Cricetulus griseus: one gene and its partner. The protein of the gene in region 2 purifies or fractionates together with the protein of the main gene of each other region. This does not show direct contact. Links are inferred from orthologs where the notes say so. Each region holds a gene or a part of one and is shown on either strand. Other genes may lie near its edges.

What was found.
Region 1: the proteins of Rassf8 (region 2) and Pard3 purify together in Homo sapiens (affinity purification with mass spectrometry; 4 studies listed by BioGRID and IntAct, counting the BioPlex papers as one, with this or other methods). This does not show direct contact. The link is inferred for Cricetulus griseus from reciprocal best matches to the Homo sapiens genes RASSF8 and PARD3.

The regions. Positions count from the first base shown.
Region 1 is NC_048596.1:204,253,612-204,257,422, reverse strand, and holds part of Pard3 (partitioning defective 3 homolog), read right to left. Parts: intron 3,508-3,811; coding exon 3,356-3,507; intron 2,344-3,355; coding exon 2,299-2,343; intron 1-2,298. UniProt on the Homo sapiens protein: Adapter protein involved in asymmetrical cell division and cell polarization processes. Seems to play a central role in the formation of epithelial tight junctions. Targets the phosphatase PTEN to cell junctions.
Region 2 is NC_048601.1:3,906,246-3,910,633, reverse strand, and holds the start of Rassf8 (ras association domain-containing protein 8), read left to right. Parts: upstream 1-1,353; 5' UTR 1,354-1,501; intron 1,502-4,388.

The DNA of each region.
Region 1 (3,811 bases), on a different chromosome or scaffold from region 2:
TCATGCTCTCATTATTCTTTTTTAAAGAAAGAATATTCATGGCAAAAACATAGAATGCAAGATCTCTAAATCCATGAGTCAAAGTCAAGGAAATTATCCATAGAATTATCTTCCCCAGAGCAGTTTTGTTGGTTTGATGCCTACCACATATAAGATGAGCACTCTGGTGCCACACCCCAGCCCTAGACCTATTTTTGGGGGGGGGGGCGGGGTCTCATTGTGCAGCCTTGGCCAGAACTCAGAAATCAGTAGCTATAACCAAGGAGATCCACCTGCCTCTGCCTCCTGAGTACTGAGATTAAAGGTGTGCACCTGATTCCTGCCTGCTAATAAATATCCTTGTGCTTTAAAAAAAAAAAAAAAATGTGACAATGACGGTATTTTCCTTGAGAGGCAAGAAGAAAGAGTTCTGTTTTCATAACACTTGGCTTACAGTGAGACATGTATCTATACCAAAATGTCTGCATGCCTTGTCCAAAGCAGTGGGCTAACCTATCAAAGAATTCAAGCAACTCTTAAGTGAGGAACAGGAAACAATTCAACTGAAAACTGTCCATTGGCTAATACTGGGCGGGGAGAATACAGTTTACAGAATGTATCAATGGGGATTAAAATTTTCCAATTTAATTGCAGGCATAGGACATTTGTGGACACTCAAAACCAGAAAATGCCCTTCTCCTCTAAGACCTAACAGGTGAACCACAAAACATGGTTTGAATAGATGATAAATCTCAGTCACCATCATGAGAGTTACATAACACTTTCAGTTAAAGTCTGTGAGTTATTTTTTACTCACAGTAAATTTTGTTTTCCTCATTGTAGCTTTTGGTTGTTAAAATTATGCACTCCCCATTTTCACGTAACTAGACAGCATCACACTGTGAAGGTGCACAGATCTGCCTAGTGTAGGGCCTACTTCTTTAAACTACTGAAGTCTAAACACTGAGTGCTACTGTACACATGTAGACTACCAGGACTTGTTCTATAGTTCTGCTTCAGAATTTCAATGAATTTTATGTTTCACCAGAAAAATAGCTACTTAGCAAGATCTGAGGCTATAGTTAATTGCTCCAAACACAGCCAATCTTATAATTTATTGAATGCAATTTTATAAAATATCATTTACTTCATAGAATATGGTAACGCCAAGTACATCCACAATAATCTTTATGCATGTATGTAGAACACACAGGCTGAAACTAATTACTACAGCAGGTTAAAAAGGCAAATTAAAGCTAATACGTGCTAAGTGATATAATTACATTATCCTGGATCTAGAATAATTAAAACAAGATTCCAAAATACACTAATAAATCATGCATGCTCAACTGCACACAGCACACTGCTTAATTACACTGACAGACTCTGCTGATTATTTTCATGTAGTAATATGAAAAATAAGATAGACTATGCTGCTAAAGCTAGTCCATGTAGCCCATTATTTCTATGAAATGATTAAGCAGTAAATTTAGAACAGATTCCAAAAGTTAATGAAGCCATATGTATCATATAGTTCAAACTAATGTCAGGGTTAACAATGAGGTAATTTCTGCATTTAAAAAACACACAGGAGATAGCAGACGAAATACACGAGCATCAGTAGCAGCAAGGCCAAATGCTGTCATTTAGTGAAAAGTGTTCATAGAGGACCGTGGATCTCAACCTTCCGAATGCTGCGACCCTCTAATATAGTTCCTGATGGTGCAGTGACCTCAACCGCGACATTACTTCTTTGCTATTTCATAACTGTAATCTTGCTACTGTTATGAATCATAATATAAATATCTGATATGCAGGATAGCTGATATACAAACCTTGTGAAAGGGCTGTTTGAGCCCTGAAGGGGTACAACCCATAGATTGAGAACCACAGATATAGGTGATGCTGCTTTCCAAATACTAAGACATAAATAACATAATGACTAATGAATGTAAGAGTCCAAACAGGAGATGTGTCCTTTGGATTTTGGTTTATATATATATAAAAAAAAATCATCACAAAAACATTCCTATGCAAGTAAGACTAAAACAAAACAAAACAAAACAAAAAAACTCTAAGGTTGTTTTTTAACATGGTAAAAGGTAGTCCATTCCATTCCAATGTTACCCACATTGCCGATAAAATTCTCATAACAGAAAAAAAACATATTTTCCCCTGCAATTCGATTTCCCATAACGAAAGCATCTGAGTGAGACTGGAATACTGGTGCTTACATGCAACAAGACTGGCAGCTCTATAATCATGATAAGCTCCTTGAACCATAGTTTCTATGGCAACAGTCTAACTGTCCATTCTTACCTGCTCTCTGGTCATCCACTGTATTGAGTTTAGTCTCGTCAGCTACTGTTAAAAGGTAAATGTATAATGGTTAGCCCAGTTAGTCCCCAAAGCCCGACATGCTTTAACCCTCCCCCAGCCTTGACCGTTAGAGCACAATTCTTAGGCAATATTCCATGCAAAAAAAAAAGGGGGGGAATGAAACAACAAGCAAACATTCATAATCAAAAATAAGAGAAAAATAAGCAGTATCTTCATGCAGTATGCCAGTCATTTCATCTCACAGTCATGTGTTATTTGTATGTTAGTGTATCATCATTAGCCAAGGCAGTGCACTGTCTAATTTTATATATATATATATATATTTTTATGACAAATTAATGCTTTTAGTCTTCAGGTTCAAACAGCCACCAGAAAACAGCATAAGTCATGGTTGATTAATAATAGTTTTTTTAAAAAAAAATTTAGTTTATACCTGTATTAATTGAATTATTTTGGGGGGCAGATTTGATTTAAAGAGAGAGACTACCTGATTGGTGTCTGGCTGAACAACTATGGCTATTTTCCTTCTCTCATTTGTTCCCAAATTTGTTCTAGAATATAATCTCTCAAGTTATTAATTTGATTCAAGGCCATAATTGTTAAAGCACAAGAAGTTCCATCAATTAGCACCTCAAGAAGAGCAATCAAGGAGGGCACTGGCAACGAAGCACTAGACATGGATTGAGATAATGGTTTCTCTCCAAAATGTTTTCTACTTAAAAATCCCACCAAATGGAATCTCAAAGGAAATTGCTCCTCAAATGGACAAAAGATTAAAACATTTCATTTTGAAATGAAGCAACAAGGATACAGCATGGGTTTGCTTCCTTTCTCATATAAAAGTACACGTCAACATACTGCTTATATTGTCAACATGCTATGTGGAAAACTATTTTATTTTTTTTTGACAAATTGCCACATTTTAAATTTATTTTCTCTATTGGTAAAAATAAGCAGATATGTGTTTGGGACCATCAGTTTCATCCTGCAGCATCCACGCCTTATTTAGATAAAGATTCATGGAGATTGTACTCACTACCTAAATCCATGCTTTTTGATTTTCGTGTTTTAACGAAATCCAATTGACTGGCATCTGAAAATTGCTTTGTGCGTTTTTCTGACATACTCTGGCGTCCAAATCCTTCTCGTTGAAAAGCAAGTACCGGATCAGCATCAGGACTCAAAGAGCTGGTGTGAAGAGAAAGAAAAACATGAAAGTATTTACTAAAAAGTAGAGACATTCATTTTAATGAAGATCCTATATATTCGTTAGTGCATGGATAGATTCATATTATTTAAATATTTAAGTTAGATGTATAATATACCTCACTTTTAAAAGGAGGCTAAATGGAAAGTAAGAGAAAAAATAAAAATTGATTTAACCTTGAAGTAACTCTGTGGGTATAAACTTTCTTCTCTATTTCTTTCTGCCCTGTTTCTTTAATGTGTTCATTAATATATCATTATTTCTGTTATTATTTAAAATGAGTCT
Region 2 (4,388 bases):
GCTACTCGGAGGGAAAGCAATTCAAAGTAGTCCTTGGAGAAGGCAGGGTTTCTTTCTCTTTTTTGGACAGTTCTCACTCTGTAGCTCAGGCTGGCCTTGAACTTCTGGAAATATGCCCACCCTACTCTCCAACAGGCTCGGCTTTTTCTTTTCCAGTATCTGACCCACTCTTCTGGGGTTGCTAAGGACAGATGCTGGGCCGCAGAGGAAAAGCAATTCGAACGCGCCCTTGGAGAATGGGTTCTTTTCTCATTGGGGCCCCGTAGCCCGTAGCCTAGGCTGGCCTGGAACCTGTGACCGTCCCTTGCCTGGGCCTTTCCAGTGGGCCCCGCCCTCCCTACACCTCTGTGACATTGGATGTTTCCGCGGGCTGTCAGGGAGGACAGACACCCCATCACAGCTGCTCCCCAGGGAGGGCCGCTCCAGCCAGTCCCGGGAGAGCGCCGGCCGTTCCTTCCGCCTCTCCTGTCCCCAGGCCCAGCGGATCCCTCCCGCGGGCGGCCCCGAAGCCAGAAGCCAGCGAGGGACCGCAGGCAAGGCTACCTCAGAAGGCTCAGGCCCTCAGGCCCCAGCGCCTCCCACAATGCCTCGCTGCGCAGTCCCCTACGGTGTCCGCGGGCGGGGGAGGCGGCTGTAACCCGAGCGGGTGAGGGGCTAACCCTGCTGCTGGCCCGCAGCCCGCGACCCAGAGAAGGGGCGGGGACACCGGCCCTCGGCCCGCCTCCCCGGCCCTCGGCCCGCCCTTCCTGGTCCTCGGCCCCGCCTCCCAGGCCTTTGTCCCGCCCCCAGATCTTCCACCACGCCTCCCAGATCGTCTGCCCCGCCCCTAGACCCTCCGTTCCGTCTCCCTGACCTCTCGCCCCGCCTCCCAGGCCCTCCGCCCCGCCCCTAGACCCTCCGTCCCGCCTCCCAGGCCCTCCGCCCGCCCCTAGACCCTCCGCCCCGCTTCCCAGGCCCCCCGCCTCGCCTCCCAGGCCCCCCCGCCCTAGAACCTCCGTTCCGCCTTCCAGGCCCTCCGCCCCGCCCCTAGACCCTCCGGCCCCGCCTCCCTGGCCATCGGCCCCGCCTCCAGGCCCTCCGCCCCGCCCCCAGGCCCTCCGCCCCGCCTCCTAGGCCTCGCCCCGCCCCTAGGCCCTCGGCCTGCCCTCCGGGCCCGGAGCGGCCTCCCCGGCCCGTGCTCGCCGCCCTCATCCCGCCCCTCTGCGGGGCTCGGCGGGCCCCCGTGGTCCCGCCCTCCCTTCCTCCTCTGCGCCGCTGTGCACCGCCTCCCGCCCCGGCCAGGCCGGCGTGCGCCCTCCCTCGCGTCTCCTCCGCCCGCCGGCTCAGCCCTCCGCGCGCGCCGCCCTGCGGCCCGGGCCTCCTCAGCCCCGGCCCCGCCGCTCGCTCTCCGCCGCCGGGTCGCCGCGGGGCCGCCTGGGCCGCCGCCGCCGCTCAGCCAGGGCCGGGCCGGGCCTCCGCCGCGGGCCGTGCACCCGGGCGGCGGGACGGGCTGCGACGCGCAGTAAGTACAACTTTCCCGGCCCGCGCCCCCGCGGCCCCGCTGTCACCCCGCGCCCGCGCCCCCAAGTTGGCGCTGCCCGCCGGGGTCGCCTCTCCCCGGTGTCCTTGGCGAGCGAGTTTAGAGGCCACTTTTGCGGGGAAGGGAAATGCATGGCCGGCCCTTGGCCGTCCCCTGAGCTCTCAGACGGGAATCGGATGCTCGCCCGGAGGGAGAGCCTTCCCTCTGGAAGGGGAAAGTGGCGGTTGGCAGGCTTCTGCATTTTGTCCGAACCGGGGCCGCCTGGCCTCGTCGCGCAGCCTCCCTCCCTCCGTCCCGGGTGGCCAGCCCCTCCGGGGAACCGAGCCGCCCGCCGGGAGGGGGCTTGCAAAGTTCGCCGCGTCCTGTACCCCGCAAACTCGCCCAGGGCCCGGCCCGGGGAGGCTCAACTTGAGGGGTCGTGGGCTTGGCGTGCGAGGCCGCTGCGGGCGGCCCGGCGGTGGGCGGCGGAGACCGGCTTGCGGCTGGGGTTGCGTCGTCTCTGCACCGCCGAGCCGCCCGCCCGCCCGCCCCGGGTTGCCGGACCACTACTTGGGACATAATTGCAGGTCAGCGATGGTCCTAATCTTCGGAGGTCTAGGAGGAAATATGCGGGGCGCAACACACTTGAGCGTGTGAGGTCAGCCCTGCCAACACATCAAAGCCTGGCGTGAAAAGAAAAAAAAAAAAAAACTCTCCAGCCCGCTGACAGCAGGGACGAACACTTAGGGACTTACCGTAGATTGGGGCGCAGAGATTTTTCATGACATCTGTTTTGTTCCAGGGAAGCATTTAAAACCTAAGAGACCTCTGCTCAGTTGTAGGCTGTATGTGTGTGTGTAGGTGTGTGTGAGGGGGTGTTAAGGTAGTTTTTCTTTTTTAGAAGTCTTTCATCTGTGGTTGCCAGGGGTTTGGATCGTGCTATGGAGGCTAAGAACCGGCAGGTTTCCTGGTGTGTGCTTTTTGTTTTTTGTTTTTTTTAAACCTATCCTTTGCTTGAGGCTGTCCCTAATGTCTGTCAGTTCGCTGCAGGGGGAGGTGCTGGTGAACACAGGAATCAGGGCTCCGGACAAAACTGCACGCTCAGTTTGGGAAGTGGTTTATGCTATATCTTTTTTAGTGGTCATATGAGTGGTTTTTCTGATCTTACTTAAATCCACGGGGAACTTCCCCCAAACCTCAAAGTTACACACGACCGGTACTCCATTTAAGAAGACTGGATGCAGTTTGATAATTCTTCTACCTGTGGGTCTGAAGGGTCAGAGGCAACACAGCGTAATTTGCAATGAAGGTGATTAAATCTTTTCAACAATCAGTCATTTGCCCCTCCCCCTAAGCGTTTTTAGATGGTACTTTCCGAACTAGATTCAATTGGCCATAATGGATGAGATCTTTGTAGGTGATCAAGCCCCTATTCTGGGCTTCTGGTGCTTGGGGGGACGGTAGAGAGTCCCTGTAGGGAGCCAAGCCATGGGACTGTGCACCTAGGAAAGGTTTTCAGTTAGTGTCAGTGTCCTGGAGAGAAACACAGTTACAGAGGTGTCCAAGTCATTTCAGTGGTCACAGTTCCCAGATTGTGCAGGTTTTAGAGATATTTGGAAATTGCAGATTTAAAATCCTATAGGATCGTGGTGTCATTTTTCTTTGCATCTTCTTTGCCTTTTCAATTTTTTTTTTTTTAAGCTTGTGACTCTTAAATTTGGAATCCTTGGTGCTTGGTTTTCATGGCCCTTTGTATTCAGAGGGGTGTATTAGTGCTTGATCTGAATGCCTGGCATTCTGAGAAATGATTAATTCTTCAGAGTATCCTGTTTCTTACTGAGTCTTTTGCTGTTGTATATAATAACTTGGGAGTAAAATTGTTGTTTACTGCAGGATATCATTGTTCTTTTTCCTTGTAGTTAATTTTTGGCAGATGGTTTTGTCAATTTATAAAACGTTGAGAAGGAGCTGGGCGTTGGTGGCGCACGCCTTTAATTCCAGCACTTGAGAGACAGAGGCAGGCGGATCTCTGTGAGTTCGAGGCCAGCCTGGTCTCCAGAGCGAGTGCCAAGATAGGCTCCAAAGCTACACAGAGAAACCCTGTCTCGAAAAACCAAAAAAACAAAAAAACAAAAAAACAAAAAACCAAAACAAAAAAACATTGAGGAGACCCAGATAACTTGCAAGTATTCAAAACTTGGGAGATTTCCTTCTAGGTGGAGGTGAGGTGGGGCTGCCTCATGGAGATGAAACATTAGGAAATGTAAATAATGAGCCAGCTACTCACTTTCCTTGGAGGTTACTTTGTTCCAGTCCTAAGTAGGTTTCGGAATTCCGGAATTCCCGTTCCCTAGTGTTCTGTGGACTGGAAGAGATACCTTTTGTAGCAGCTAGCCAGGCTTGTCAGGGATTTAAGGATGTGCCCTGCTCCTCTGGTTCTGTGATCTGTATTCACAGCCTTTAAAACGCGTTACCACCGCTAACAGGAAAGCTACGAGCAGAGCACCTCCCAAGTGCCGGGCACATCTCTGTCAACAGTGGCAGCATCTCCCATGTCCCCAGAGCTTACTTGGTGGCCGTCCATTGGTCCATTGTAGTGTTTAAACACAACCCCCTACCCTCCTACCCCCACTTCCTTCCTTGAGGGCAGTAACAGTGCCCTCTCTACTCTCCGGTCCTGGTGCACATAGGAAGGAGTGTTAGTAAATGGTAAATGCCTGTTGGTGTAGCGGCGGTGTCTCATTTATGCTACTCCCTATGTAGACCAGGCTAGCCTGGAACTCACAAAGGTCCTCCTGCCTCTGCTGAGTGCTGGCACCACCACACCCAGCACATTTATGTTTTAATAGTCCTCATCTCTGTTATATTTATGTTTTGTGACAGAAAAGCC